3 linked regions of the Coturnix japonica genome follow. The protein of the gene in region 1 purifies or fractionates together with the protein of each later gene. This does not show direct contact. Links are inferred from orthologs where the notes say so. Each region holds a gene or a part of one and is shown on either strand. Other genes may lie near its edges.

Region 1 (9,844 bases):
AGTAACAGCAGTGTGATCTTTGTGTCCTATAGCAGGTATCCTAACAAGAAAACGTCGGATCTTGGCTTCCTTAAAGCTCTGACAAAGTATGTTAAGGAAGCATGAATCTTCAGTATCAAATGAAGCAGGACTGCTTCAAATACCTGTCTCAGGAGTGCTGGTTAGCTGTCAAAAACCAAAACTGATGAATGATGTTCCTTAAATTTGTCCTTGATCTGGTTCAGTTCAATGTTTTAATTATCTGGATGATGGAAAAGAAGAGATAGATTATGAAACTGAAGTGGTGTTTGACATACATTCTGTTTGGAGACAGTGCCAGCCCTGGGAGTCCCAGCACTTATTGGTGCTGGTGTCCTTCTCAAGTCCCTTACTTACTATTGTCAGAGGGAAGAGACTAATTAAAGCTGAAAGTTGTCTAAAATTCTCTTCTAAAGTGACTTTTTGAACATATGTTTTATCAGATATCAGTTGGCTGAGTTTATTCAGATGACCCAGTTGCATGAAACTTAGAAATCTCTTCTGTACACATGGTGGTGAATAACCAGATGTATATAGTTCCCAGCAAATGGGCTGTTGTATTTAAGTCTTTTTTTTCACTTGCTATTTTGGTAAGCTGTTGGAATCAGAAAAAAGGAATGAATTACAAGTTTCATTGTAAACTGTTGATTATACAATGTATGTGCTTAATAACTTTACTGTAGAAGTATTTTCTAGCTACCACTGACACACTGTTGTCCACAGTGCTTTAAATAGGTAGAATGTAAGGATTTTCACTTCTATGGCATTGAAGACTTCACAGGATGCTTTTGAAACTTGTTTTGCTGTTATATCAGTATTATAGCCCCATCAAACTGGCTGATGTGTCCCACTGGAGAAAGAGTTCAGCTCTTCTTGAGGCAGCTGTGGGGCTGCTACGTAGCATTGGCAACCAGTTCATGGCAGGCACAAGAGAAGAGGTATTCAGCTGCTGGGGAAATCTAGGGGGAGGCCATGGAGGCTTTAGAAAATTCCCATCTCAGATTATACGATAGAAAAGGTTCTGTCAATCTTTGAGTCCATAAAATGATACCAGTATTTACAGTCCAGATGGTTTCTGTGTGCTGGGATTATTTCCTGCTTAGATCGATCATCAGAAAAACTTGTTTTAAATGTAATTACTTCAGCATTACGTAGAATGTTGCTCTTGAAGTGTTTCAGCTAGTAGCTGAACCAGGTTGAGAGTCAAAAGGTTTAGGTGAGAATATCTTCTGCATAAAGCTCTGTTTATATCCTTTCTCAGGTAATATGGTCTATCTTTGCTTCAGCTTTTACTTGTAAAGAAGATTTGTTTCTTGTTTTTAAAATCGTGATGAGTTTGCTGATGAAGGAGGATCTTGATACTGCGAGGTGAAGTGGTTGAGAAGTTGATGAGCCTATGATGTGTAACCAAGATAATCTTTATCTTTCAGTGGTGGTGGTAATCTGCAAGGACACTTGAAGCTACAGTACGGGATTTGATAAATATAGAACCATGAGTTCAAGACACTCTCAGAAAATTAGACCTTAACAGTGGGGTTATTCTTAAAGTATTCAGATGTTTCAAATGAAATTGTTATTAATCAGAATTTATTTCATTTCCTTTTTGTTTTTTAATACAGCTTCCCCCTTATAATGAAACAGTCTCATGCGGCATAAAGTCCACAGGTAAGTGTTTCATCATGGTGGGAATTCAACATCCACTCAGGAAAACTTAGTTTTGGAACTTTCCCTACAACTACTACGGGCTCTCTTTAAATTTTTTCTTTAGAACTCAGCAGGTATATCGTCATGTTGCTTTTTAAAGCCCATACGTTGCATTGTACTATTTGAAGATGTTGTATTAAACATCAGCTGATCAGCATGGACATACTTCTCAGTCGTGCTGCCACACAATCTTGACATCCTGCTCAAATAGTGTAGAATGTAACTGTAGATGTATGAAGGACTTTAGCTTGCTGGTGAACTTGTACAGGAGAATCTAGTGGAGTTTCTATTGTGAACCTTAGGGAAGAGAAAGAAAGCTGAGTTAAACCCAGACAGATATGAGAATGATACAAATGTCATCTAGACCCTCTTCTAGTTAATCCAGATATTTGACTGGCTGTTTCTCAGAAGTACTTGTGAAGGTCCAAATACACGTGTTTACAAACTCTTGAGTTATTATGTTTAGCAACTTTGGCCTTGCATTTAAAAGTAAATAAGGTAGTTATAAAAGGGATGAGAGGCCTTGCATGAAAGCGGGTTAACAGCACTATTGAAAATCAGGCGGCTTTTATGTGTAGTGTAAGACTAGTTTTAGGATCCCAAGTAATTTTAAGTAGGAGTTTGAGAAGTTCATTTAAAGGGCTGTATGGTGGTACAAACTGTTACTGGTGATGGGTGCCCAGTCATACGCTGCTTTGTCTAACTACGGATTTAAGCTGTGTTCTTTAAGATGTAGATTTTGATGTTAACAAGCTGTACAGAAAGTTGGTTTGTACAAATGTTTTTCAGATCATTCCTAGATCGTGAGAGAATCCCTCCCTACCCTGAGATTAGGTAATGACAGCGAATTAGGTTTTGCCTGACAAGTGTCTTTAACAGGCTTGCACTGTACTGTGCATGCGTATTATCGCTGTGGTGGCTGCATAAGGAACTGTGGAAACTAAAATGGAATGCTGTGCTTATGCAGAGTATTTGTAATTAAATTGAGATGACACGTACTGACCACATTGTCACCTTGTAGCCTAATTTTTTCTACTCTGAGTATTTAATTTTATTACATAATTAGAAGACTTGTTAATACTTACCAGGAATAATCAAATCACAGCTGAAGCTCTAATATTCAGACTAATTAGTACTAAATGTTCACAGCTTTGGTTATTGTACATAGACTTTGTCCTGGGAGCGTTTGTTGCTGCTTGTTTCAGTATGCTGTCATGTTGTTCCTGACAGATGCATCTGTTTCAGGCCGTTCACCAATTGTACTGTGAACTAGATTGAAACAAACTTGCCCAGAAGCCAAGTGGAAAATGAAAACAAATAGGAAAAAAATTACCTCTTGTTTTTCGGAGGAGCTTTATATGATCTTATGGCAAATGAGCTCCTGCTGGGCAGCCCATAGACTAACTATAGAGTAGATGCTGCTGCTTATCATTTAATTTCTGCTGCAAGGTGTGAAGTTCAATTCCTTGCTTGCGATCTCCTAATTTGTATTTAATGCCAGAATATCACTTAGGCTCTTGGTTAGATTTTGTCCAATGGAGTCATGTTGTGCCTTCAGCTAAATTAACCTGCTGTTGCAGTGTTCTGTTTTCTGCTTTCTTCTTGCCCTGGGTTGGCTCTTGTGATTGTCTAGTCCATGGTAAGCTGATTAGTCCACCAGAACAGAAGAAAATACTCTCTTGGACTATTTTTTGCCAGGTTAGCTTTGGGCAGCACATGTATTGGAAGCTTACAGGAGGAGCTGTTGAGGAGGGTGCACCTGAGACCTCTCACTTTTGGCTGTGGTAGACTTAACTCATAAAAGGAAACCCCTATCTTTGTTTTAATGCAATTATAGTTATTTTTTTTTTAAACTGAGATTTTGAAGAAGAAACAGATGTCCAGAGTGTTTGCAATTGGTAGGAATCTGAAATGTGCACAGTCATTCCTTCTTACTGTGGTTGACAATATCACACGTCACCAGTGGTAGAGAACCAGCTCTTGGTTTGTGTGTGAACTAACAAGTAACTACAGAAGCAGATGAACTAATCAGCAATAGCTACGGTTTGGATTGGTGTCTCTTAAAACCCATGCGCTGCATTTGCAAGCAGAACAGTGACTGGTTGTGAGCCCTGTGTCCTGGTGAGTCAGCCTGTGCGTAGCCCTGGTGAGCCGGTTAGTGCAGAGTGAGGTGACGTCCCTTCCCTCTTAGTTGGATGTCATCTCTCCACCTCCCTGCCTCTGGGCTGCTGATTCTAGAAAGAATTAAGCCCTCTCTTCTGCGTGGCGTCAGGCAGCGATTGCAGAATTAGTTGGTGAAAGGTGACTTGACAGGCATGGTGTTGGAAAATGCATTCACCCAGGTGTGTGGGGAGGGCTAAGAAGGTCTGAAGTTCAGGCTCTTGTTAGCACTGTTTAGGGAAGTCAAATTATTATTGGGAGACTTTTTTCCTCTCTTCATGTTTCCTTCAGTCTAACTGGCAGCAAGATTGAGACATCAGATGTGTTTACTTCACATTTAGATAATAATAATAAATAATAAAGCATTGAGGGAAAAGCAGTTAACATCTGTATTTACTTGTTTTTATATTGGCATGAAATTATATTTGGAAATGGTGTGAGGTATTCATGGTGTAAAATATGATATATTATTACTTGATTTTTTTTTTTGCTTGATAATTTGTAGTATTTTGTTATTGCATGTATCAGACCTCAGCACACACTGAATATGTGTTACGCTTCATTTGATATTATATAAACCTGTACATTTCATCATCATTATTTTCAGTTAGTGTTTTTCCCAGCTGGCTTCTGTAGGTTGCAATTGAAAGGATTTGGAACAAAATATTCTCCAGACTCTGTCCTTTCATAGGAAGATAACAGATAACAGTCTTAGATAAGTCTTAGATGTTTGAGGTGTGCTTTTTAGCTCCCCATCTTTTGAGGGAACACAGGATGTAAAACTATCCTTGAAACAGTGACATCTGTATCATAGAAAGACCTGCTAAACTAAATGACCAGTAAGCACTATGACGTGGATTCACCTTTAATGCTTCTGAGATGCCAAACGTTCATTAGTTTCATCTCTTCGTGGAAGTAGTTACATCCAAGATGGTCAATAGTTGCAGCACATGCATTATAAAACTAAGTTCCATGAAGTTGCAATGCTTTGCAGCTGGTAATATATAGTGATATTGCAGCTTCCTATGAGTATTTGTCTCATTTCTTTAATGATGTCAGGTTGAATTTATAAAACATAACCCACCAATTTTTCAGCACTGATTGTAGTATGATTTGAATGCGGGCTTAGATTGGGGTTTATCTGTTCCATTAGACTGATTTCAAGATGAGAAATGCATCACGCTGTACATAGTCATAGATTTGGCTGTTATAAAACTTGCTAAGCTATCGATGAGCAGAGAGTTCCAAAAGCTGCAATCACATTGTTTCCATGCAATTGAAAATATTATTCACTTAGTGGTTGTTGTAAAAATCTTTACATGCCGTGGAAAAGTGTGAGATAGATTTTTAAAGGCTTGTGCTTTCTAATTTTCTGTGGAATAAGCTGGCTTAGGAAGAAGCACGGGGTTAAATATTGCACCATAATTTGTATGCACTTGCTCAGTAATTAATTTAATTCAGAATATTGCTAACGTCATTGGGTTTCAGTTGCTCTTAGTGGGCCAGTTTAACAGGTGCTCCTTGCACAAACAGTGCAGCAGCTTTGAAAATTGCAGACTCAGCTTAAAAAAGGCTCCATGGGTTTCAGGAAAATGATGTTTTAGAAACAGTCTTTAGGCTTGATACAAAGAGTAAGAATGGTGGTTGTTTGAGGGAGGGTCGCTTGTTTTCTGAGTTGCAGGAAAATATATATAATATATATATTTTTTTCATGTTTTTTTGCTTGATGTCATTTAGTAACTCAGCTTTACTTTTTTTTCTGCAGGGGAGGAGTATCAGAGAATTGAATTTGGTGTTAATGAAGTTATTGAGACGGAGTCTTCTGTACTAAATAACACCGACTACAGTATTTCAAGCACTCTGAATCCTCAGGCTCCAGAATTCATTCTCAGTTGTGCACCTGCTCAGAAAACCCCTGATGTCAGCCTTGGTGAAACAAACTACAACTCAGTCGACTGCCAGTTCTCTGACCCTACCCTCACTCTCGATAGTGGTTCTAATGCTGAAAATGACGGCTTGTCTGGAGGCCTTGGACAGAGGGAGCGTAAAAAGAAGAAAAAAAGACCCCCTGGATACTACAGTTATTTGGAAGATGTCAGTGATGGCATGGCCCCCACAGAAGCTCTTGTAAATGGCCATGCAAATTCATCGGGACTTAACAGTGTCGGCCCGGAGGATACAGAACTGACAGGGGAAATCCCTTCTCTGGCCACACCAAGGACTTGCAACAGCCCGGACAATTCTGTGGACTTCGTTCATGAAGCTGTTTCTGATGATTCTGTTTCTAGCGCACTAGACAATACCAGGACTGCAGGGCAGCCTGAGGTATGCAGGGTTACTAATTCTGAACAGTTTTGCATCCCCTCAGAGACTGGCAGAGATAGCCCTTTAAGGACAGCTGTTGTACAGCCTTATGCTGGTACTGATACTACTGAAAGTCTTGGCGTTACTAATGGACAAACACTTGAATCCTCTGGTGAGGACACAGCTGCCAATGGGGTAGAATTGCACACTGTGGAAAGCACTGACTCAGACCAAGCTAAGCCTGAGGAAGCTTCACCTACTACTGAGGCAACAGCTACGGTTGCAGGATCAATCCCTGTTAATCAGCCTGCGAAATCGTGGGCTAGTCTTTTTCACAATTCCAAGCCCTCTGCTTCCACATCTGTGGTGTATGTTGAGACTAAGTATACCCCTCCTGCCACATCTACTCTTGTCCCTGAAAAACAGGTTGAAGTCAAAGAGGGACCTGTTCCAGTTTCAGAAGATCCTGTAGCCATAAAGATTGCAGGTATAGTTATTACACATGAGTGGATATTACAGTTAGAAGAGTGTTATTAACTTTGCTTGTAAACAGGAGTGTGCAGTATTGATAGAGAAGGCTCCTTTCCTAATGTTCTAAGGGTGAATGTTAGGACACAGGTACGGAAGGGGTAATTTAAGCTGCTTACCTGAGTAAATATTGCAAGATGTTATCATTTGAGCCAGGTGCAGGAAAAATACTGCTGCTTTTCAAACAATGTGCTTAAATGATCTGTGATTCCTAAAAATAATGGACTAGTTGTATTCAGCCATGTGATACTGTAACAGGGAGGGCCTGATAGAAAAGCTTGTGTCTCATCCAGTACTTACGATTGTGTATAATGCCTTGCAGCAAAGAGTGTTAATGTATTTATACCAAAGTAGATGAAATTCCTGATCACTTACAGTAGCATAAATGTGATGGATAAACAGGTTCTGCTTCAAAAGTTCCAATTCAGCAGACAGTAATTGGATTTATTGACGTACTGCTGGAATGGTACGTCTTGCAAATACTGAAGAATGATCTTTAACCATTTGAAAGTATGTTATTTTATTCAGATTAACAGTGCTATTCATTGCCTGTTCAAAAGGGTGATCGTAAGAAACTGTCCAAAGGGTACATTCAGAAAGATGATGTGATATAATGTGATATGTTGGTATTGTCTGTGGTTGTAATGAGCAGTACCAGAACATGAATGTGATTGCTTTCCAACTGAAACTACATGAAGAAAAATAGCCTGTTAGTTATATTTTGTGTCACTACACAAAAATAATTATTTTTAAATCGTGAAATAGTCCAAGTGGTGGAAAACATTGTGTGAAATCCCACTGATTTATACCAGAAGTTAATTTATAAGCACAGCAGCAGCTCACGTGTGGCGACATCAAGACAAAGCTCATTCTTCTGCTATAACTGGAAGCTGATGTGGAGATTTCAGAGCAACCTGCAGCGTGTACCTGCCTCTCATCCACTTGCTCGCTCAATGGTTTCACAGCCTACAACTGTCTATTGAGAGTAAAGCTAATTCTGTGTCTCTTTCACTTGGGCGTCACAAACACAGTTGACTGTGGCAAAGTGTTTGTACATACAGGTGGTGGTTTGTAAGAACCTGTGCATGCAGCGTACTTCATGCTTTCAGAAACTTAAGCTGTCAGGTGGCAATGAGTCTTAAAACTGTTTTGTGGCAACTGTTACAGTAGAACTTCTTACCAAAGCTGTAGGCTTGTCTGGGTTGCTGCAGCTTTAGCTTTGTAGACATGGGGTGTTTCTGTACAGTTTTTTGCCACCAGGTGGGAGCAGCGCCTTTTCTTTTGTCTCTAGTATATTGAAATAGCAATATTCCTTCGCAGTCTTCTTTTGTATCTTCGCTGTTGAGGAGGAGTAGGTTGTTTATCAATCCTTCTCCAGTGGAAAGGAATCCATCTTATTCTGGTTAATTTAGGTGGGAATCATACTCTAGATGACATGCACCTGGTTTCACTATAATACACAGTGCCTTGCTCTGAGGAAAGAGGGAATTTCTTCATTTTCTTCTTTTTCTTTTTTGATGTTAGTCTTGCTTGGAAAGAAGTCCATCAAGTGCTTTGCTTATGCATAAAGATCAGGCATAAATTGAGTTCAACAAGCAAAATTAACAGGTCTTCTGACAGTGAAAGTGTGCAGCTTTCATTTGAGGAGGGTGCTCGAGACACGAGAACACAAATGTCTTTCCCACAGACAGTTGAATTTTGCCAGTGATTACAGGGGGATTAATGGTTCACAGGCACCTTGAAATGAATTTGCTGCTATTTGATTCAGCCTGCAGAAGTCTGTGGCTTCTTAATCCTCAAATGTGAATGAAAGCTCACGGGATAAAGAGGTGAGAATCAGGGCTAGAAGATAAAACACTTGAATAGATTTCATGTCACTCTTTGTTGGGGAAGAATTACTGAACAGTTTTAGTAAGCGGCTGAGATGTGCTGTGAGCATCTGGCAAGGAGTCAAGGGGTGGTCACTTAACTGTGTGCTTTGGTGAGTAGGAATAAATTCAGTGAGGGAATCTAATAAGATATTCTGAATCCTGTTTCCTTGCACTGTTTCTGTTGTGTAGGTGATGGAATTAACAGTGCGTATAAAGTTTGTTTTGCCACAGGCAAAATTTCACATAAAGAACACAAACATTGAAAACGTGAATCAATCTGGAGTGCTTTTAAATTAAAAGGGAGGTAAAATCCAATACAGATAAGTGTGGAAAGGTGTGTCAGAAGTAAGTGCATGCGGACAGTATGAAGGGAAAATGGTTGATAATAGTAGTAGGGAATAAGAGGATATGTTAATTCTAGGGAGTTTATGCATATCCCTAATAAAGTTGAAGGCTAAATTATATTTCCAGTTTGTGTTAATACCAGTTTATGTAGAAAAGATTGAAGATGGCTCTTAGAACTCTGTTGTTAGTAATGGGGACTTGATGAAGAAGTTGGCTCATCCTCAGGCTTTAGTTCTGTAGGGAGATGTAACAGGCAGAGAGAAGAAACATTCAGAAGCCACGTTGTTTCAGCAAGCATGGAAGTTTGGATTTATTTGTTTCAGAAGAGTCTGTAGGAGCACGACAATGGCTCTAACATCAAATATCTGAAAGAAATGCATGAAGACTACAGTGATTCGTTGCTTTCTGAAGACAGTAGCAAGGCAAAAATTACTTCGTTTGTCACAAAGGTTCAATGTCACAGCAAACATGGAAATGTTTTGGGTTTGTTTTCAAACCAGAGCCATGTTCCATAATTACATACCAACAAAAGGGATGTGAGTTCCTTCTGGTTAGTGATGTGTGCTTTATAGTCAGTTCTGACACTCTTAAGAAACTTTCCTCATGATTGTAAGTGTATTTTGCCTTATGATGCTCTTGTAAATATTACTGCCTAATTTTAGATTTGGTATGAAAACGTGGTACGGATGTAATCATGTAAAGCAAAAAATCTTTGTGTTGAAAGAAAACTCACTGCAGTTCCTTTAGACATTATTTAGAAGGCAGTTTTATGACCACAAGAGGATGCTAAAGTCATAGTAATACTTTTATTCAGTGTGACAGGAGATGAGGAAAAATACATTTAACCTGAAAAGTTATTGGTTGACATTAATTAAGAGTTATTCTCATTGTCTTTGTCCTAATTTTCAACAGCA
Region 2 (10,819 bases), on another chromosome or scaffold:
GGACGCGGGAGGCGGCGGCGGGCAGAGCCGGGTGCAGGGCGGGCCGGGCTCGGGAGGAGACGAGAAAACCCCTCAGCTGTGGGGACGGGACCGACGGGATCCGCCCGCGGGGCCCGAGAAGGAGCAGGAGCTGGTGAGAGTCGGCCGGGGAGCTGAGTCACGGGGCGGGATGGCGTCATCGGGGCTCCCTAGGCCGCGTGACGTCATACGGTGACGTAGTACGGGGGGCTCCGGGGTGGCTGTGTGTTACTAACAGGGACAGCGCTGTCCCCGCGGGTCGCCCCTAACCGTGTGTTCCATCCCGGCAGTCGGAGGAGGACAAACAGCTGCAGGATGAGCTGGAGATGCTGGTGGAGCGTCTGGGGGTGAGTGCGGGCCCCGCAGCCTAGAGAACTGGGGGGGAAATGCCCCGTGTCACAGCCCTGTGGGTGCTCAGAGCTGTGCCCCGTGGGTGCCTGTCTGCTCGCTGTGCCACAGCCCCATAGGGCTGACTTTAGGGTGTGGGGGGCTCTGAGCCCAGAGTCAGCACCTCACACACCTCCTGATGGGCCTCTTCCATGTGCAGGAGAAGGACACGTCTCTCTACCGCCCGGCGCTGGAGGAGCTGCGCAGGCAGATCCGTTCCTCCACCACCTCCATGACCTCTGTCCCCAAACCACTCAAGTTCCTCCGACCACACTATGGCAAGCTGAAGGAGATCTATGAGAACATGGCTGCTGGGGAGAACAAGGTGAGTGCTGCCATCCTGTGTGGGCTGTGACTTGCCACGTCCTTGCTTTGCCCCCTGTGGACACAGTGGGGCACTCAGTCCCATGTGGGTCTTCTGGGGTGCAATCAATCCCATGTGAGTCTGAAGCTCCAGCTCTCTGTCCCCAGCGCTTTGCAGCAGACATAATTTCTGTCCTGGCTATGACCATGAGTGGGGAGCGTGAGTGTCTGAAGTACCGCCTGGTGGGCTCTCAGGAGGAGCTGGCATCGTGGGGGCATGAATATGTCAGGTGAGACTGGCTGGGAACAGGGCTTGGGGTGGATAAGAACAGCTGCCTCACATCCGCGGGGCTGGGTGAGGCTGGTTTCTGTGGTCACGATGTCCCCTTCTCCCTGCAGGCACTTGGCAGGGGAAGTGGCCAAGGAATGGCAGGAGATTGATGAAGCTGACAAGGCACAGAGGGACACACTCCTCACCCTGGTTAAGGAGATTGTCCCTTACAACATGGCTCACAATGCAGAGCACGAGGCTTGTGACCTTCTCATGGAGATCGAGCAGATGGACATGCTGGAGAAATACATTGATGACAACGCCTACTCCAAAGTGTGCCTCTACCTGACCAGGTGAGGGACTGGTGCATCTGTCTGGCCCTTGGTGGGCTAAGGCTGCCCAGTTTCATTGGCTGACACTCATCCTCATATGCATCTCCTCCTCAAAGCTGCGTAAGCTATGTCCCAGAACCTGAGAACTCTGCTCTCCTACGCTGTGCTCTGGGCATTTTCCGCAAGTTCAACCGTTACCCTGAAGCCCTGCGCCTGGCTCTGATGCTCAATGATGTGGAGCTGGTGGAGGACATCTTCACCTCCTGCAAAGATGTGTAAGTAGAGACAGTCCCTGGGCTCGGGGGGGCGAGTACAGCTGAGTAGGATCCTGACATTGTCAGATGTGGCTGGGGGCTTGGCCAGATACTGGTGTCCCCAAAATAAAGATGAGCAGGAGCCAGTCATCTCTGGGCTGTTCTTGTATGCTGCTTGAGCAGGGTGGGCTGAGGTATGTGACTGCTGTTTGGCTATGGGGGCTGGATGCTTTCAAAGCCTCTTCCCTCTGCAGAGTTGTCCAGAAGCAGATGGCCTTTATGCTGGGCCGCCATGGGGTCTTCCTGGAGCTGAATGAGGACGTGGAGGAGTACGAGGACCTGACTGAGATCATGTCCAACGTCCAGCTCAACAGCAATTTCTTGGCCTTGGCTAGAGAGGTGAGCACTGTGCTGGAGAAAGATCTCTGGGCTGCTCCAGGCTGGGATCTGCCCTGGCCACCAGGCTTTGTGCTCTGTGGCAAGACCTGGGGAGAGCTCTCTTATCCCTATGAGCCTGGCCAGGTCCTGCTGGCAAGGCTGTCTTTGTAGAACAGCTGCTGTGGTGCGTCTGTGGGGAAATAACCCTCTTTTCCCTTGTCTCTGCAGCTGGACATCATGGAGCCCAAAGTACCAGATGATATTTACAAAACCCACTTGGAAAATAACCGTAAGAGCTCATGTTTTGACCTTGTCTGTCTCTGGATAGAGCAGACCCCATTGCTTCTGGTGGGCTTTGTCTGCTCCTTCCCTGTGGCTGGGGATGGGGCCTCACCCACTGTCTGGCGTGGGACAACTGTGCAGTGGAGTGTTGGCCTGCCTCACTCTGATCTTGTTCCCCAGGGTTTGGGGGCAGTGGTTCCCAAGTGGACTCAGCCCGGATGAATTTGGCATCCTCCTTCGTGAACGGCTTTGTAAATGCTGCATTCGGCCAAGACAAGCTGCTGACAGATGATGGCAATAAATGGTTGTACAAGAACAAAGACCACGGTGAGGGTTGGAGGTGGCTGTGGGCTTGGGGTTGTGACCCTTTGTGGGCCCTGCTGAAAGTGTGGCAGTTGGGTACAGCCCTGCTGTGTCCAGGCTGGTCACACTGACTTGGGCTTTTCTCCCTGGGAACCTGGGAACTCAACAGGAATGTTGAGTGCTGCAGCTTCATTGGGCACTATACTGCTGTGGGACGTGGATGGGGGCCTCACACAGATTGACAAGTACCTCTATTCCTCAGAGGATTACATTAAGGTGAGTGGCACTGATCTCAGCCCCATACTCACTTGGTACCAACCAGCCTGTCCTGGGGAGCAAGTGTAACCTGTGGGGTGACATGAGTCACTGGCTGGCAGGGAGCTCCATGTGGTGGTGGCTAGTGCATAATGGTGCCTCTGTTTCATAGTCGGGTGCCCTGCTGGCCTGTGGCATCGTCAACTCAGGAGTGAGGAATGAATGCGACCCTGCCCTGGCCCTGCTATCTGACTATGTCCTCCACAACAGCAACACCATGCGGATCGGAGCCATTTTTGGGTAAGGGTCTGCCCTGGCGTCCTTGGCTGTGTGGGATGGTGCAGCCATCCCTGACATTCCTCTCTGTTCTCCATAGGCTGGGGCTGGCCTACGCGGGCTCCAACCGCGAGGATGTCCTGACTTTGCTGCTGCCAGTGATGGGGGACTCTAAGTCCAGCATGGAGGTAGGGAGCAGAGCAGGGTGTGCTGCACGAGTCCCTGACAGCTCCTGGGGATGCTGGGGCTGGTTTGGGCTCTGCATGTCCTTGTGTGATGTGCTGTGCCCTAAGAACATGGCTCCCTCCCCAGGTGGCTGGTGTGACGGCCCTGGCTTGTGGCATGATATCTGTGGGCTCTTGCAATGGGGATGTCACCTCCACCATCCTCCAAACCATCATGGAGAAATCAGAGACGGAGCTGAAGGACACCTATGCCCGGTGGCTGCCGCTTGGCCTGGGCTTGAACCACTTGGGTAAGAAAGGGCAGCACTGGTGGTCCTGTGAGCTGGGACTGTGAGCATCTCTTGGGTGCCCTGAACTCTGTGCCTCTTCACAGGCAAGGGAGAAGCCATCGAGGCGATCCTGGCAGCGCTGGAGGTGGTGTCGGAGCCGTTCCGCAGCTTTGCCAACACATTGGTAGACATCTGTGCCTATGCTGGTGCGTTGAGCTGACCAAGGCTGAGGGAGGTGGGAGTGGGACCAGGCCTTCCTTCTGCTCATCCTTACCCACTGCTGACCTCACAGGTTCAGGGAATGTCCTGAAGGTACAGCAGCTTCTGCACATCTGCAGTGAGCACTTTGACTCCAAGGAGAAAGAGGAAGACAAAGACAAGAAGGACAAAAAGGAGAAAGAGAAGAAAGAAAACTCAGCTGACATGGGAGCACACCAGGTAGGAAAACCTGGGCTGGAACCTGCGGCCCAGGCCCAGTAGCTGCCCTGTCTGGAGTCAGACCCAGAGGAAGTGGCCCCAGCAGGATCCTCTGCTCTCGCTGTCCAGCTGGGCTGTAAGAGATTGCATTTGCAGTTGGTGGTCTCTGCCTGGCATTCAGTACTGGTGTCTCTGCAGGGTGTAGCAGTGTTGGGCATTGCACTTATTGCCATGGGTGAGGAGATTGGTGCAGAGATGGCCCTGCGCACGTTTGGTCACCTGGTGAGTGGCAGCTGGGGGACAATGTGGGGCTGGGAAGGGACCTGGATGAAGAGGGCAGATCTTCTCTCACATCTTGGCCTTGGTAAGCTGGGTTGTGGATGCCCCACCGTGCCCTTGCCCCTACCTGGGTTTTAATATCTTCTCTCTCTCTGTTCCATGCAGCTGCGGTATGGGGAGCCCACCCTGCGCCGTGCTGTGCCCCTGGCCCTGGCGCTAATCTCTGTTCTAACCCCCGTCTCAACATCCTGGACACCCTCAGCAAGTTCTCCCACGATGCTGACCCTGAAGTCTCCTACAACTCTATCTTTGCCATGGGCATGGTGGGCAGTGGTAAGCCTGGGTGGCAGCTTGTGTGTTATGGTGGGCAGCCATGGGACCAGGCCGGTGCCTCAATCCCTGCCTTCTCCAGGTACCAACAACGCCCGGCTGGCTGCAATGCTGCGGCAGCTCGCCCAGTACCACGCCAAGGACCCCAACAACCTCTTCATGGTGCGGTTAGCCCAGGTGATGATCCCACACTTGTGGTTGGGAAGAGATGGGGGTGGCTGTGGATGGGGGGGCCACCACGTGTTGCCCCACTTGTGCTCACGTGCTTTCTGTGCCACACCAGGGCCTGACCCACTTGGGTAAGGGGACGCTCACCCTGTGCCCCTACGCAACAGCGCATAGGGCAGCTCATGAGCCACGGTGGCTGTAGGCTGACTGTTGACCGTCCTCGTGTCCTTCCTGGATGTGCGCAACAGTGAGTAACGTGTCATAGAGTGTTTCATCCATCCCCTCCTTCCCACACTCACACTCTCCCTTTCATCCCCTTTCAGTTATCCTGGGCAAGTCCCACTATGTCCTGTACGGGCTGGTTGCGGCCATGCGAGGCCGCCGTATGTTGGTCAACTTTCGATGAGGAGCTGCGTCCTCTGCCTGTATCGGTTCGGGTTGGACAGGTGAGGAGCTGGAGCCTGATATGGGTGGCTGGGGGGGGTTATATCCCATAACTCCTCATCTCAGCATGCTTGCTCCTGCAGGCTGTGGATGTGGTGGGCCAAGCGGGCAAACCCAAAACCATCACCGGCTTCCAGACCCACACCACCCCTGTGCTGCTGGCACACGGCGAGGCGGGGCAGAGCTGGCCACCGAGGAGCACGTGCCCGTCAACCCCCATCTTGGAGGGCTTCGTTTTTTCCCCCATCCTGCGGCAAGAACCGCAATACTACGACTGTTGAGGGGGGCTGGGGGCTGAGTGGTTGGGGGGGGGGGGGAGAATGACTGGGGGTTTTTTTGGGGGGGGGGGGGTTGTTTTTATTTGTTACTGGGAGATGAGGAAATAAAGTCTGCGTGGATCGGTGCTGCTGTGCTGCCCTTCAGTTCTGAGCCTGTCCGTCGGGCAGCACCCAGCGCACCGTGCAGCTCCGAGGGTCGCGCTGTGTGTCCGTGCCCCCGCCGGTCCCTCCATTCACGTGACACGGGCGGGGGGCGGCGCTCGGTCTCGGTGCCGCCCGGTCGGTGTCCCCTCCCCCGCTGGTTGTGCCCCTCCCCCCGTGGTTGCGCTGCGCGCTGGCTCCGGAAATGGTCGTGCTGCGCTGCGCTGCGGCTGCGTCGGGCCGCGCGCGCTGAAGGAGACTGAAGGTAACGGGCGGGGGCGGGGCGGGAGCGCGCCGCGGGGGGGGGGGGGGGGGGGGGGGGGGGGGGGCACCGGCACCGGGACCGAGTGCGGCGGGGTGAACCGAACCGCGGCGTGGAACCGCCGGGCATCGCCGCGCCGCCGGGCCCCGCCGCTACCGCTACAAGCGCCGCCGCTACCACGTGGGCGCCGCCGGTCTGCACGCCGTTATCCGCGCTAAGCGCCGTCTCTCGGCCCCTCGTTCCGGTGTAGCCGGCCCGAGCGCCCGTTCCTTCCCCACGTGCCGCCGCCGTGCACGTGCTCCGCCGCCGGGCCCCGCCGCTCCGCCGCACGTGGCGCGCCCCAGCGCCCCGCCCGGGCCCGGTGTGAGGCCGCGGGGCCATGGCGGCGGGCGGCGGTGACACGTGTCCTTGGCACAGGCCGCGCCGCCGCGGGGGGGAGCGAAGCGCCGGGTGCCGCCCTGGGCCCCGCGCCGTGTCCCGCTCCGCTCCTTCCTCATCCCGGGGCCGCCAAGATGGAGCCGGCCCCTCCGGCCTAACACCCCCCCCCTACACACACACACACACACACACACACACACACACACACACACACACACACACACACATACACACCTCCCCTCCGCCCCGGGGTGAGTCACCGCCGCCCCGCTCTGCCCCGCTCTGCCCCCCGCCCGCAGCCGGTCGGGCCGGTCCGGGGCCGCGTCAGGCGGTGCTGGGGCCCGGCAGACGCCGCGGCGGCTCGACCCGGCCCGGGGGAACGGCCCCGTCATCGCCCCGCGGCGGGGGAGGAAGGACGGCACGGCGGGACGCGGGCGGCCGCACGGACACGGCGGGGGGGGAAGGCTGGAGGTGTCCGAGCCCGGTAGGCGGCACGGAACGGGCTCCGCGGGGCCTGAGCCGCCCTGTGAGCCGCGGGGCCCGGATCCCTTCGGGCGGCGCTTCGGGCCTGTAGGGCCGGGCCTGTGCCGCCTGCGGTGCGGCCTGAGCCCGCGTCTGGGGGCACCGAGCGGCCCCTCGGCTCGGCCCCGTGCCGGGGTTGGCGGCGGGGCGGGGCTGGGCCCGAGCGGGTCCGGGAGCCCGGCAGCGGGACCCGCGGCCTGAGCCGGCCCCTTGCGATGCCTCGGGCTGACTGTGTCTCTCCCCCCCTCTCTCCCCTCCTGCCGGCCCAGTCAGTCGGATGAAAGGTCTCTGCAGGCCCGATCAGTCGGCCCAGGTTTTTCCCGCGGGGGGGTGAGTATGGGGCGCCGTGCAGGCGCTTTGGGGCCGGGTTGTGGTGTCCCTCCCTGTGGGCCCGGCCTTGTGGTGGTGGTGGGCAGCTCGGTGTGTCTGTAGGCCCGGTGCCTTGGCTGTCCCAGAGAGCTGCTGCCCCTGCTGTACCTTGAATCCCTTTAGCCCCCCCCCATTAGCCAGCACTGTCAGTGCCCTGAGTATAGGATCGGGCCCCATCCAAGCACCTGGATGGTGTCAGGGCTGATGGCTGTATTTGGTGCTGCGGGTCCTTCTGAGGGTTGCTACCCCCACGCCTGGGGGGTGACAGGAAAGTGAGGGGGGTAGGCTGTGCCTTGCTCACCATAGGGCAGGGGGGCCAGCAGAGGGGCTGGGGGGCCGGCAGGCCGGCAATTGCTGACGCAGCCAGGCGTCGGGTTACAGGCACTGCTCGTGGGGCAGCCCTGCTGGCAGTGAGGCTCCCCCCCCTGCCCTAATGCTGCCATGGGACACAGGGACCCCCTCCATGGGCTGCAGCGTGGGGGGCACCTCCTCTCTCCTGCCCAGGTGCCCTTTGCACTCGGGCAGGAAGCGTGGAACATGGTGCCAAGTCCCTCCTGGGACCCAGCTGTGTCCCTGGAGGTGGGGGTGGTGGTGGTGGTGTGGTGGCATGGGGGGGACGTGGGAGCTGCTCCCTGCCCTCCCCGGTAGGCGTTTGCGGCATGAGCTGGGCTCCTGGCACCACCGGCAGGAACAGGTTTGGCCGGCCAGGGGAAGCGCTTTGTAGGTCAGCCGGGGTGGAGCCAGGGCACCCCGGCGTCAGCCTCTGTCCAACTCCACCCCAGCTCCTGGAGCTTCTCAGAGGGGCTGCGTGGCCCTGTTTTAGGATAGGAGATTACTGCAGGCTGTGAACACGATGCCATTTAGCTTATGCCTGTGCCTGCAGATAGCAAGGGGATCCTTATGCACAACCACATGAAATGAACAAAGCTCCACAGCCCACAGGAGGAGCCCCGACAGCCCCGCACCCTGCCCCTTCTCCCGGACTTCCACAGGTAATAGACGGCCCCTCCGATGGCTTTTGGGGGTGGGAGGTGCCCAGCTGCCTCTCTGATTTGGGATGAGGCTTCTAGAGGCTGTAGTGCCCACTGGTTCCCTCTATGCAGTCAGCGTTCCCACCTGGTCAGACGGCACCTGTGATTTTTAACCCGACACCGACCTCACAAATGAATACGCCTTCTCAGCCACGACAGGTAAGGGCTTTGCTATGGGGAAGATGAGGCTTTGGGGAGCTGGTTAAGATCTGCAGCCTCCTGACTGAGCAGCCCATGCTCTTCCTGGTTGGCCACAGCAGTGCTGGGGGCATGAGGATCCTGCCTTAGGGGGCTGGCGTGCACCTGCCCCCAATCTCCATCATGGTTTCCCTTCTCCCTGGCTCTGGGGTGAGGGCAGACAGCTCCTGCAGGGCACCCAACAAGTGACCGCTCTTTTCTCCTTCCTCCCCTTTCCAAACCTTGCTCTCTCCTCTCTCAGTTTCCAGCAGGGCCTCGTGCTATTCACCAGCAGGTACTAACCAGTCCCTACCCTGCATGCTGAGCGCCCGGGGCAGCCCCAGCACCTGGCGCTGCACAGAAACACTTGGGGAGAACGTGGGGAGCTGCACCGAGCCCCAGGGGGGAGCAGGCTGGAGGAAAGAGGTTCATTACTCAGTGGGATCAGCTGGAGGGGTTTCACTGCGGTGTCCCCGAGTTTCTTGGCTGCTTTTGCATGAAGTCTAGTGCATGTGGCTCTGCCTGTGCTAGTCCCAGCCCAGGCCTCTGCTTCTGCCTGTGCCCTTCTCCTCATCTTCTTCTTCCTTCTTTCTGTGGGGTGGAGTGTGGGGGGGGTCTCCTGAGGCAGCAGTTGTGTCACACTGCTGGCCTGTCCCTGACTAATGCAGTGCCCTGGGAGTGATAGTGTCTCTCTGCAGTGTACCCAGCATGTCCCTTAGGCTGTGGGAGGCTGCAGCCATGGTGGGGCTGGGACCTGACAGTGCCAGGAGGTGGACAAGGCCTTGTGCCCAGCAAGCTGGATGTGTCCCCCTGCATCCTGCCTGCAACGCTGCAGCTGTTGCCCCTGGGAGTTTGAGCAAAGCGCCTCATTCAGCTCCAAGGAACAGCTGGGCACAAACCTAGTGACATCCACACTGTGCTGGGTCCCCCTGGCTCCATAGGGACCTCCATAGGGGCAGGCAGCTCCCCGCGTCCCCCAGCATGGGTGGATCTGGGATGTGGCCATCACACTGGCAGCCTGGCTGCTGCTCCTCCATCCCACAGCACCACGCTTGCACTCCCACCCCGTCCCCTCTCACCACCCCATCCCCTCATCCCACCCCAGCGCGGCAGTGTAACTCCTGTCTCTCTCTCTTTCCCCTCTCCCTCTGTCTGCGTGCACTTGCTATCAGGGAGGATTCAGGTCTCTCCAGGTAATGCTTTCTCCTTGCTCCAGCCTTGCCCTGCACACCAGACGTGCAGACACCTCCTTCCCTGCTGCCTGTTCCCCAGCCCTGGGGTGCTGCCACCCAGTAAAGCAGTGCTGCAGGGGCTGCGTGTCCTGCACGTTGCAGCATGGCACAGTGGGACTGCAGGTCCCGGCATTCAGCGCGAGTGCCGGCCCCCATTGCAAGGCACGCTGGGACGTGCCGATGAGCTGCGTGCAGCCGTGGCCGGCTCCGGGCGCTGCCGGCCCTGCTGGGCTGGGAGTGGGCTGTGCTGGGCATGAGCTGGGTCGGATGGAGCCAGGTGGGCCCCCCACAGGTGTGTGGGGCAGTAGGGGGTGCCTGGAAAGGAGGGGAGGGGGTGTAAGGGGTGAGCTGCATTCTGGTGGGGGGGCTCCCCTCTTTAAATCTCCACCCAGGGGTGCTCCCTGTGCCTAGGATGAGTTTTGGGGTGATAGGTGCTGTGAACCTTCTGTCTGGGTTAGAGGGGGGGCCTGGCTCGGTTGCCTCGTCCCTTTGGCAGGGGGGTGCTATTGCTCTGGCCTCACTGCATCCCTGTCTCTCCCAAAGCATTTCTACCAGAACAGGGCCCAGCCTCCTGCCAGCGCGTCCCGCGTGCAGAGCAACACAACGGCCCGGCCTGGCCCTCCTGCCCATGTGTATCCAGCTGCTTCCCAGGTGATGATGATACCCTCCCAGATATCCTACACACCTTCCCAAGGAGCCTATTACATTCCCGGACAGGTGAGGGCTGTGCCCCGGGCTCTGCGGGATTGGGCTGGGGTGGGCTCAGGGTTGGAGCCCAAGTTTGTTCTGGGAGGTGGAGGGGGTTACCCTGGTTCTCTGAGCTGTCCCTGACTCCATCAGGGTGTTGTCCAGCTCTGCAGAGGGGCAGCACCTGTGGGGTTTTGTGGGCTAACCCTGGGTACTTGATGCTTGTCTTGTGTCCTGTGCCCTGCCTTAATGGCACGCAGGTTTGGGGCACGCACTGGTTTGGTATTTGCCTGTGCCCTGCTGGGAATATAACCAACTTTCTTCTCCCCTATTTCAGGGTCGTTCAACGTACGTTGTCCCAACACAACAGTACCCAGTTCAGCCTGGTGCCCCTAGTTTTTACCCTGGAGCCAGCCCCACAGAGTTTGGGACTTACGGTACAGACTGGGGGGATTACTCTGTGTGCCATTGCTCTTCCATCCACGATGCTTCATCCCTTTTGCTCCTCTGACTCTGGCCTCCCTGCAACCCCACAAATTGGTGGGCTGAGCACAAATTCCCTGTGTCTCTGGGTTTTGTGAGGTGCATTCT
Region 3 (10,762 bases), on another chromosome or scaffold:
TGGAGGAGTTCTGAATGGGTTCAGCTGCCTTGTGCCTGCTATGCTGGCTGCTGATACAGAGCTAAGCCCATGCCAAGAAGGATCCCATCTCTTACCTGGCCTGGGGCACCTGCAGGAGGCAGGGGAGCTTTCCTCTTCCTCGGGGTGTTGCTTTTCTCTCTGCCTAATGACTGGCTGGGTGAAGATGTCTGCAGAGGGACATTACATAGCAAATGGCCTCCCCCCTTCCTGCACCATCACCACCATGGAGAGCATGAGGACTCCCAATGCCCCCCCAATGCCCCCCACCCAGAGGTTGAGGTGCCTCCAATCCTGGTAAGAGTCAGGCTTGGCAACCCTCACCTGGGACATCTGCTCAGATGATTCCTCTTCTGTGGGGCAAAGTGGGAGGAAAGAGAAATCAAGGAGGTTTTGGGGATCATGGAGGTGGGCATGGGATGTAGAGCCAGACTGGGGTGCTCACTTACCACTGGCCCAGGACTGGCGCTGAGCAGCCTCTTGCAAGAAGTGCTGGATGAGAGCATTGCCCGTGGACAGGCCGTAGTGTGCAGCATCGTGACCCATCGAGTCCACCAAGGCCACCCGTGCACCAGCATTGATGAGCACCTCCACTGTCTCCACGCTGCCATTCTCACAGGCCAACATCAGGGCTGTCCTGAGCAGAGGGGTGGGAGCAGAAGTGAGAGGACCATCCATCTCCCCATATGCCCCCAATTCCCACCAGCAAAGACTCACTTCCCCTGCAGGTCCCGGCTGTTGATGGCTGCTCCGTGGTGCAGCAGGTACTGACAGAGCTCTGAGTGGCTCATCTTTGCAGCAAGGATCAATGGTGTGCAGCCATTCTAAGCAGAGAGAAATTGGGTGAGCTGGGGATGCTGCTTAGATCCCCCATCTCAGGGCACCCTGCTGCTTGATTTCCACATCCTGCTTTTGGGGTGTTCTCATAGCAGTGCTTTGGAGACCCCAAGTGCTGCCAGCTGCTCCATTACACCCCAAGAAGCAGCTGCATTTCAAAGCCAGCATGGATCTTTGCTGCTCTGTAGGGTGAGAAGCAGAAGGATCTCACCTTGTCCTTAATGTTCAGGGGAGCTTTGTAATCGCAGAGGATCTCTGAGCACGATATGCAGCCACTGATTGCTGTGGAGGACAGAAGGTGAGCATTGCCTGATGTGGGGATGTGGGCAGGATGGGTTTAGCACTGTCCTCACTCACCTGCGTGGTGAAGTGCTGTCTGTCCATTGCTGTCAGCTACATCCACAGGGCAGGAAGCCTGAAAGGGAGGGAGCCTGGGTTACAGCAGGGTGGGGAACAGATAGACTCTGCAAGCTACATGTGGCTACTATAGGGCTATAAGGCTGCCCCAAATCAAACAGTGCCAGATAGAGCCAGGAACCATCATGCCAACCAGCACCAGCACTGAGGGAAGGGAGAACAGGGATAGAGGGCACCTTGCTGGGGCTGCCCTTAAGGTGCTGGGCTTAGTGTGGTGTGACACCAGGTACAACACCCTCCCTCCCAACCCCAGTACCTGCAGCAGCTTGCTCACACACTGTGGGTGTCCGTGCTTGGATGCCAGGTGCAAGGCAGTGTAACCTGCAGAGAGGGACAGACAGACAGGTCAGAGGACAGACAGTGGGTTGATAGCACAAGGGGGACAGATGGGACAGCAGGACCCGCTGGGCTGAGCAGGGCTACCACAGCATTAGAAAGGGGTATATGGTTGCCATGCCCTCACCTGAGCTGTCTTTGGTCATGGCATCCACACCGTGAGCCAGCATGGCTTCAAGGCAATCCACATTCCCCCGGGTGGCAGCCAGATGAAACCTGCAGCAAGACCCAGAGCTGTCAGACCCATCTCTCTCACCTGAGCCCCATCACAGCCCTGTATCCCTGGTGACACAGGCCAGCACTTACGCAGATTTGCCCTCTGAATCCAGCTTGGTGGGGACCAGACCCTTGCGGACGAGGAGGGATGCCACCTTTCCAGCATCATTGTAGTCCACAGCTTGCAAGAGCTTCTCATCGTTCTTGGTCCAGTCCTGACTCTGCAATGAAGCCAACGTGAGGCTGTGATCCTTGTGCTATCATCAGGGGCAAGTAGGATGTTGGACTAGACACAGTTACTAATCCTCATCCCCTCCCCTTCTATCCCACCCAACTCTATCCCTTAGGTGCACTTTCCCAGCTGCTGCTGTGTCTGCTGTGCTGCATGAAGGGTTTATCTAGGAGATCTGATTTGAATGAGGTTCCCCTTCATCCCCCAACCTGTTTGCAGTTCACAGATGGGGGAAGTAGCAGAGCTGCCCCAGTTTAGCTCTGAATGTTCCAAGGTCTTGGATGCTCCCTGATTGCCCCCCACCCAGGGTTTGTTCCTGCCACCCAAGTGACCCTGATGCTATCCATAGGCAGCACACAGGGGTTCCTGAGCCCTATCCCTGCTTGGGTCTCTCCATTTTCAGCCTTGTTTTTCTCCTTTCCAAGGAAGGGGTGAAGTCAGGGCAAGCAGAGCTGACAGTGAGCTCAGGTCCCTGGGGATGACTGCAGCCCAGTGTTGGGTACGATGCTCCTGAGCAGAACTGGGGCTAGGTGAGGGTTTGCTGGCCCATTGGCCCCACACATCCCTTCCTCAGGGAATGACCCACAGCAGAGCAGGAGCTGGGGCTCACCCCACAGCCTGGGACAACAAACCAGAGCTTGGCTGCGGCTGGGAAATGGATGTGACCTCTGGGAACAGCTCACATCCTGCCCCTCACCAGCTGATGCCCAGCGCTAGACAGAATCCCTGTGCCACAGCACCTGTCCTATATAGGGCCAGGGGACCCTGATGTGGGGTGTGGAATAAAACAGACTCCCAGGGTTACTGGGCAAACTGGGAGCGTGATGCTCACCCCCACCCCTTTGTCTTGCAAGGACAAAGCAACTCGGGGAGGATACAGCAGAGCCCAGGGGACAGGGTTGGGAATAGAGGGGGTCCGGACGGGGGTTGGGGGTGACAGCTTACCCCATGTGCAGGACTGAAGGGGAGCGGGGATGGAGGGACGTACCGCAAAGGATGCAGCGGCACAGAGGCAGATCTGCTTCATGGTGTTGAGGAGGAGGCGGCGGGCAGCCATGCATCCCTTGCCTCTCTGCCTGAGCTTGGGCTGGTCGGGGCTCCAGGTTAAGGACCCCAGACCACGGGTCGGTCCGGTACCGCCACCGGGGCGGGGGCCGAGTCCTGCCGCAGTGACAACCGGGATCCGCCTCCTGCCGTCCCTTCGTCCCTCCTTCCTTCCCTCCCTCCTCGGAGCCCAGAGCTTCAGCATCCCTACATCCCTGCATCCCTACATCCCTACATCCCTACATTCCCTATCATCGGCCTTACATCCCTACATCCCTGCATCCCTACATCCCTGCATCCCTACATCCCTGCATCCCTACATCCCTACATCCCTACATCCCTGCATCCCTGCATCCCTGCATCCCTGACTCGGAGCGGGTGCTGAGGTCCCACCAAGCACCAAGTCTGGTCCCAATTAGAGTGGGAGGGTGTGTGTGTGGAGGGGGGAGGAGTAGCTCTCTCACCCCTGTGCCCGAGAAGAGGAAAGGATGCATCCCCAAACTATAGGGACAAACATCCTCCTACTGCCTGCAAGCAGCTCCCCAAGGAGGAGGAAGGATGTAGGACCTCAACCCTGCCCTGAGGGACAGAAACTGATCTCCCATCGCTCTGGGGCTAAGAGGGACACAGGATCCCCCCACCTGAATCTTAGGGGACCAGTGACCCCCTGCAAGGAGGGAACCCCAAAATGCACAGGCTCCTCCACCTACACATCCCCCTGGTGCTGCCATAGGCAGTGGGGACGGCACTGTCACCTTCTTCCCAGCCTGGAGAACAGCAGGAATATGCAGCATTGTGCCAGTCTGGTGCTGAATAATTAAGGAGCATTGACTTGCTGGCTTCAAAGTGGGAACCCAATCTGGTTGCTGTGGCTGGAAAGCTGGCAGCCATCCCTGCATCCCATAGGACAGAAATGGGTACAGGATCTGGGACACATTCACCTCTCCTCGGTGCTGCTTTCCCTTCCTTTATTCTGCCCTGCTCACAACTATGATCCCAGTGGAAGCTGGGTCACTGGGCAGGTGCCCATGTCCCCATGGGACATCCCAGGGCAGATCTCTGTGTCCCCATACCCCCACGAAACCCACTGACACCCCAGGGCAGATCCCCACATCCCTGTGGACAACCCAGGACACATCCCTATGTCCTTGGGGACAGCACTTACATCTGCCTTCCTGAACTTGGCCTTCAGGCTCTTCATAGCAGTCCCGTGGTACCTGGGTTGAGCCTTAAAGCCTCATCTGCCCGCTGGGGTCAGGCTGTAGGGATGTGGCTGTTGCAGAGGGCAGCTTTGAAGGCTTTTCTGCTGCTGCTACGGGTCCAGCTCAACACCAGCCCTGTCTGTACCTTGTCTCACTGCTGCTGGCCCACAGCACGACACGGGGGGGGGGACACACACACTGGCATTGGGTTACCTCTGCAGTTACAGCCCGGGGGGGGGGAACATGGGAGGGCCCAGCACCAGGCAGGGCAAGGAGCACTGACATCCTTGAAACCCCTGCACCCAGACACAGGGCAGCTGCAAGGGAGGGGGTACTATAGCAAGGCTGGGGAAGCCTCAGATGAGGGAGAGAAGGGTTTGAAACCATCACGATGCTTCAGGTTATGTGTTAAGGAGAAATATTTCATTCATAAGGCAGGGAGATGCTGGAACAGGTTGGTTAGAAGTTGGGGATGCCAATTGAAGGCACTCAGGGCTGGGTGGGATCCTGGGGATCATAACCCAGCAGCTGGTAACCCTGACCAGTGTATGGGAGTAGAACTAGATTATCTTTAAGGTCCTGTCCAACCTAAGCCATTCTATCACAGCCCTATTATGGATCTAGGTCTGCAGGCATTGTAAGACAAGGCATTTTAAGACAAGACATTGTAAGACAAGGTATTGTAAGACATGGCTGAGGCCAGCAGAGCTGATGCCCTCTGCCTTTGTATGCACTCATTGCATGGCACCTCTTAGCATAGGCAGCTCCTTGTCTTTTTCCACTCCAAGTTCTATGTTTTATAATGGATGTATTAGCAGGGTGAGGGCAGAGCTCCCTATTGCCAAACACAAAGATGGCGGCGAGGACTTCTCTAGGCGTGACTTTTGCGCATGCGTCTTGAGGCTGCGGCCTACTCTAGGCAGTGCTTTGCGCATGCGTCTTGAGGCTGCGGCCTACTCTAGGCAGGCCTTTGCGCATGCGCACTGATGCCGCGGCCTCCTTGCTCGCGGACCGACAACAATGAGCTCTCCGGTAGCCGGGACGGGTCATGGCGGTGAATTACGCGGCCGGGCTCTCGCCCTACTCGGATAAAGGCAAATGCGGCCTCCCCGAGGTGAGAGCGGAGTGGAGGGATCTCCTTGCATAGCCTGAGGCCTGCGAGGCCTCCATAGGGCCTCCATGGGGACCCCAAGGCCTCCATAGGCCTTGTGCCCCATGGGGACCCCAAGCACCATGGGGTCTTTGGGTTCCCCGGTCCCGGCCTCCGTTCCCTTCTTCCTATTGCTCTGTGTCCGTTGTCACCCCGTCTTCGTGTCCCCTTTATTCTTTAGGGCCGGCCCTTTACCTTGGGGTGGGCACTACTGGGCTGACCCCATCCCTATGTCCCCCCCAACCCCCACATTCATGCTCAATAAGCTTAAGAAAAGCTTTGGGGTGAGGATATGGGGCTGTAAAAGGGTCGGAGTTCTGTCCCATTCTAGGGAGCAAAGAACCGTCCTATAGAAATGAATTTGTGCTGTGCCAAAAATCAGAATGGGCCCATGACCCCCATCCATCGCTGTCCCCCATCCTGCTCTTTTTAAGCCTTATTCCCTCATTTTAAGCCTTATTCCCTCATTATGTACATTTGGCATTAAGCAATGTGAAATTTCCTTTCCTGCGTGGGGTTTCCATTGTGGATGTGATAGAAGAGTGGTTTGCTGACTCTTTGTGCCTACCAGGAGGCATGTAGGACCCATTTCTATATCCCCATTCACGTTGGGATTTGTTTCTTCTGCTCAGATTTTTGATCCACCTGAAGAGCTGGAGAGGAAGGTGTGTGAGCTGGCAGACTTGATAAGGAGCTCTTCCAATGTGGTGTTCCACACAGGGGCTGGTATCAGCACCGCTTCAGGGATCCCTGACTTCAGGTAAAGGCAGAGGGCAGCAGGCACTGTGTGTGTGTGGGGGGGGGGGGACACAACAGCACCTCATCTGAGTCCATCTTCCATCTAGGCTGGGCTTCCTGCCAGCCATCCTGCCTATAGGGAGACCTGTGCCATCCTTTCATGTCCTCTTTGCTCTTGTCTTGTCCTATATCCAGCTGAATCTACCTTTTCCTGTTTTGATTTTAAACTGTACCCACAGAAGCCCTACATGCATTTTGAACTAAAATAACCAGGAATGTGTGGTCCTTGTTTAGCAGTGCCTTGCTTGCACTGATAGGGCTTGGGATGCATTTACAAGCAGCGTAGCAGAGCCTGAGATCTCACTTATTCCTTCTCCTGTCCCATTGCTGCAGGGGGCCTAATGGTGTCTGGACTATGGAAGAGAAGGGGCTTTCCCCCAAATTTGACACCACCTTTGAGAACGCCAGGCCCTCCAAGACTCACATGGCACTTCTGGGGCTGCAGAGAGTCGGCATCCTGAAATTCCTGGTCAGCCAGAACGTGGATGGCCTTCATGTGCGCTCAGGATTCCCACGGTACTGCCTCTCCCACCCTGCCTCCAGGTTCCTTTAGTCTCTCCCAGATGCCAAAGCATGGCTGTTCTCCCTACCTTATTAAACCACCCTGGAACAATGTTTCTTGTGTTAAATGCACAAGGTGTTCTCCATTCATTTCTGTCATTTCTCTCACAGGGACAAGTTGGCTGAGCTCCACGGGAACATGTTTGTGGAGGAGTGCACGAAATGTGGCAAGTACGTGGGCAGCAGCAGGTGGGGGCTTTGTTGTTGTCCTAAGGAACAGTGGAGGGACTGCACAGACCTGGGGCTGCCTGTCAGGAGAGGTCCCTAGTGCAGAGTGCATGGAATCATGGTCAGATCTGTCCCATCTGAATCACAAACCCTGTCATATTGTGGGAAATAAACATTTTGAGAAACCTCTGTTGCCTGGGAAACCCTCTGCTCATTGTGGCAAGTGAGGCTGCCTGCTTAGAGAGGTAACAGAAGGTTGCTGCAGGCTGGGCTTTGCATCCTGGATGGTAACAGCCTCTCTTGGCCTTGGAGCTGATGTTCAAAGCTCCCTAAAAGGGAAATTATTGTAAGCAATAGCTGTGGTTTGAAATTGATGAAGGATTTGGGTGCCCAGCTCATTGCATGTGGCTCTGAGCCATCACCTGCTTCCTTCACTCCCAGGTGTCTGTGATGTGGAACATGCTGTATTGTGGGGATGTTTCACAGCTGTGTCACCTCTCTATGTGTGGCTGCTGTGAGTCACCCTATACGTGTGGCTGTAAATAACACCATCTCTTGTGTGTGCAGGCAGTACGTGCGGGATGCTGTTGTGGGCAGCATGGGGCTGAAGCCAACGGGCAGGCTGTGCAGCGTCACCAAAGCACGAGGGCTACGGGCCTGCAGGTACGTCTGCTGGGGCAGCTATGGGAGTAGGGGTGCTGGATGGGGCTTCCCAGGGTGCTGTGAAATGAAGAGGGGACACAGAGTACCTGGGAGGTAGGAGTGAGTGATTTTGATGTTCAGATTTTGTGTTGCAGGGCGACAGGGGGTCTGGGTTATAGAGCTGTTACTTGTCTCCTAGCCATCTCTGCTGACCATTCCTGCCTGGCAGGGTAACAGTGGTCCTTGTGTCTCTTATAGAGGGAAGTTAAGAGACACTATTCTGGACTGGGAAGATTCCCTGCCTGACCGTGACCTCACACTAGCAGATGAAGCCTGCAGGTACCATATTTAGAATTGAATATCATGACTGCTGATTGCTGCAGCTTGCAATGACCCAGGAGGGTGTCTATGCCCTTTGCATTCTGCCAGTACCACAGCAAGCAGCCCTTGGGTTTTATTTTTCTTACTTTCTCTCTTGGATATTTTATCTCCTCCCTGCAGAAAAGCTGATCTCTCTGTTACACTGGGGACCTCTCTGCAGATCAAACCCAGTGGCAACCTCCCACTGATCACAAAGAAGAGAGGAGGGAAGCTGGTCATAGTCAACCTGCAAGCAACCAAGCATGTGAGTGAGAGCATCCTTGCTGCTCTACCCTGCTCTTTTCCCTTCACTTGTTTCAGTCCCATCACTTGTTCCCTGCACATTGTCCCTTTCCAAGCAGCCATATAGAAGTGACAGGCTGGGCATCTATTGCTAGAGCTCTATTGTTATTGTCCCATTCTGACCTGGGCTTGCTAGACCCTGGCTTTGCATCCATGTCTGCTTTGCTGGGCTGTATTTAAAGGCACAGACTGCCTGTTCACACCTGGATGCAACCTCAGCAGCCTGCAGCATAGCCAGGGAGCAGTGTCAGGTGGGGCCACGGTCTCAGTATGTGTTCCCTTATGGAAGATGTCCCTGGAGTCTGCGTGCAGCTGAGCCATTGCCCAGTCCCTGTCCCCAGGCACTCCCTGAGAACAGACATTTGTTCCTGTACGTCGTGTTTGTCCCCCTAATGCTGCATTTGTCCTTGCTTACCCCAGGACAAACAGGCCGACCTGCGCATTCATGCTTATGTCGATGATGTCATGACAAAACTGATGAAGCACCTGGGACTGGAAGTCCCAGAGTGGACAGGGCCAGTGGTGGTGGAAAGTGCTGACTCTGCCAAGCCTGAAGAGATCTACACATTTAAGCCCGAGGCTCACGGGTTGCTCAAGGAGGAGCCCTTTCCCCAACACAATGGAACAGCTGGGCAGTGCCCTGACCTTGGGACCACGCTGGTGGAGCACGGTGACAATCTGAAGCAGGAGCGTCCCAGTCCAGGCACAGGACCACCACTGACAAAGAAGATGAAGGTAGAGCCTCTCCTCACCTGACCCAGACTGTTCCCTGTCTGACCAGACACTTACTTGTCTGTGCCACTTTTCCTACCAACTTTTTTTTTTTAATATCCTTAAGCTTTGTCCCTTTTTTTATGTAAGTATTAAATACACTTGAATCATGTATGTCTGGGCAGCTGTACCTGCAGGAAGAACCTCCCCTGCTCCATACAGTTCCTAATCTGTAAATAGGAAGTTGCAGAGCCCAGGCTCTCAGAGGACCCCGTGATAAGGGTGCTCAGTGTTGGGTAGGGGGAGTGACATAACAGGATTGGGCAGCTGTTGCTGTCTTAGAGCAGAGCTGGGTGGTGGTGGAATGCTGTTCTGGTCCCTTTGCTGTGCCCATGACTCCTTCGGCAGCCCTGGATTGAGTGTCCCAGCTCTGCTGTCACAGACAACAGCAGTCAAGGTGTCTTTGAAGCTCTATGAATTACCTGTATTAAACTAAGGCAGGTGATTCTTCTTTTTTGTTTCTTTTTTCTAAAATACTTTTTATTTAGAGATGAAAATGAAGTTTGTTTGTTAAAAAAAAAAAAAAACAAAAGAGAGAGAACAAAACCACCAAGCTGCAACATCAACATCCAGCCAGACCAGGCCTCCTCTGGTACCCCCATCCCCACCTTGACCAACCCACGTCCCTTCCCCAGTTCCCACTGTACTCAGCAGGCAGGAGCAGCCCCTTCCTTCCCTCCTGGTAAGGCCAATAGGAATTAGTCTCCTCTTCCCAGTTTGCAGATAGAAGCAAAGCCAAGTTGGTCTCTAGCATCTGTCCATGCCTGGAGAGGGTCCCCAAGGGTCTTGTCCTAGAGGTGTTGAACTCCACTGTGTCCCCTGCAGTCCCTGGGTGCTGCTTAAAGCTCCTCAGCTGGTTCCAGCACTGTGGGCCTGCTGTGGTCAGCTTCGGTCCAAGCAAGTGACGTCAGGCTTTGGTGCAGTGCAGTGCTGTCCCCCAATGCAGTGCCAGATTGGTCCCCATCACTCTGGCTCAGCCCCTCTGAGGCAAGTGGTGGCGTGTTGTTTCGGGTGGGAGCTTTATCAAGGTGTGGAGTGAAGGAGCTGCTGCCAAAGGCTTTGTGCAGTGTCTCAGTTTCATCCTGATGCTTTGACCACAGTGGCTCTGGTGGCTTCTCATCCCCAGCTCGGGGCTGTGCATAAGCCACACGGGAGGCAGCTGCGTTATGCAGGGACCTGGAGAAAACTGAGCACAAGGGGGAGTCAGGGCTGGCAGCAGTGCCCTCTGTGCAGCCCTAGCATGGCTCCCACAGCCCTCCTTACCTCGCACTGGTCCGAAGTCACCACCTGTCTCAGCCTTGCTAGGGGCGAAAGGGCTGATGGAGGGGAAGACAATGAGTGCGAAGGAGAGCAGCAGGACCTGGGGACACAGGGGTGGTGTTACCATAATGTGGCTCTTGAGGAGGACCAGGCTCTGCAATGTGATTCCCAAAGATGGGGCTGGTGGCAGAACCAGGGCTGTGTCCCTCCATTTCTCCCTGGCAGGACATCATCCGTCCACCCTTCACACATGTCCATCCCTTCTTATATCCATCCAACCCTGGAGCATCTATCCCTACACATCAGCACACCCATCCATCCTTGGCAGTGCACTTCCAGTGATTACTAACTCCCTTGAAGCAAGGAGCCCTGGAGGAGATTTAGGGCAGAGAATGGGGACAAGGAGCAGGGAGCTCCACGCACCGCAATGCAGGTTCCTGTCTGTGC

The links.
Region 2: the proteins of USP10 (region 1) and EIF4G1 purify together in Homo sapiens (affinity purification with mass spectrometry; 4 studies listed by BioGRID, with this or other methods). This does not show direct contact. The link is inferred for Coturnix japonica from reciprocal best matches to the Homo sapiens genes USP10 and EIF4G1.
Region 3: the proteins of USP10 (region 1) and SIRT6 purify together in Homo sapiens (affinity purification with western blotting; 4 studies listed by BioGRID, with this or other methods). This does not show direct contact. The link is inferred for Coturnix japonica from reciprocal best matches to the Homo sapiens genes USP10 and SIRT6.

Annotation. Positions count from the first base shown.
Region 1 is NC_029526.1:14,977,266-14,987,109, forward strand, and holds part of USP10 (ubiquitin carboxyl-terminal hydrolase 10), read left to right. Parts: intron 1-1,637; coding exon 1,638-1,683; intron 1,684-5,647; coding exon 5,648-6,673; intron 6,674-9,844. UniProt on the Homo sapiens protein: Hydrolase that can remove conjugated ubiquitin from target proteins such as p53/TP53, RPS2/us5, RPS3/us3, RPS10/eS10, BECN1, SNX3 and CFTR.
Region 2 is NC_029524.1:13,905,889-13,916,707, forward strand, and holds the start of EIF4G1 (eukaryotic translation initiation factor 4 gamma 1), read left to right. Parts: upstream 1-5,716; 5' UTR 5,717-5,835; intron 5,836-6,674; exon of another isoform or gene 6,675-6,694; intron 6,695-7,001; 5' UTR 7,002-7,062; intron 7,063-7,984; 5' UTR 7,985-8,018; coding exon 8,019-8,093; intron 8,094-8,204; coding exon 8,205-8,291; intron 8,292-8,571; coding exon 8,572-8,604; intron 8,605-9,481; coding exon 9,482-9,502; intron 9,503-9,715; exon of another isoform or gene 9,716-9,794; coding exon of another isoform or gene 9,795-9,833; intron 9,834-10,084; coding exon 10,085-10,258; intron 10,259-10,565; coding exon 10,566-10,665; intron 10,666-10,819. Other genes in the region: PSMD2 (26S proteasome non-ATPase regulatory subunit 2), read left to right, coding at 1-133, 309-365, 566-730, 877-998, 1,108-1,332, 1,428-1,586, 1,820-1,964, 2,172-2,232 and 10 more.
Region 3 is NC_029543.1:1,706,446-1,717,207, forward strand, and holds SIRT6 (NAD-dependent protein deacetylase sirtuin-6), read left to right. Parts: upstream 1-5,268; 5' UTR 5,269-5,350; coding exon 5,351-5,416; intron 5,417-6,084; coding exon 6,085-6,212; intron 6,213-6,583; coding exon 6,584-6,766; intron 6,767-6,922; coding exon 6,923-6,982; intron 6,983-7,546; coding exon 7,547-7,642; intron 7,643-7,879; coding exon 7,880-7,960; intron 7,961-8,122; coding exon 8,123-8,246; intron 8,247-8,704; coding exon 8,705-9,040; 3' UTR 9,041-9,169; downstream 9,170-10,762. Other genes in the region: ANKRD24 (ankyrin repeat domain-containing protein 24), read right to left, coding at 96-188, 343-371, 468-655, 736-842, 1,067-1,137, 1,213-1,270, 1,529-1,593, 1,736-1,824 and 2 more. UniProt on the Homo sapiens protein: NAD-dependent protein deacetylase, deacylase and mono-ADP-ribosyltransferase that plays an essential role in DNA damage repair, telomere maintenance, metabolic homeostasis, inflammation, tumorigenesis and aging.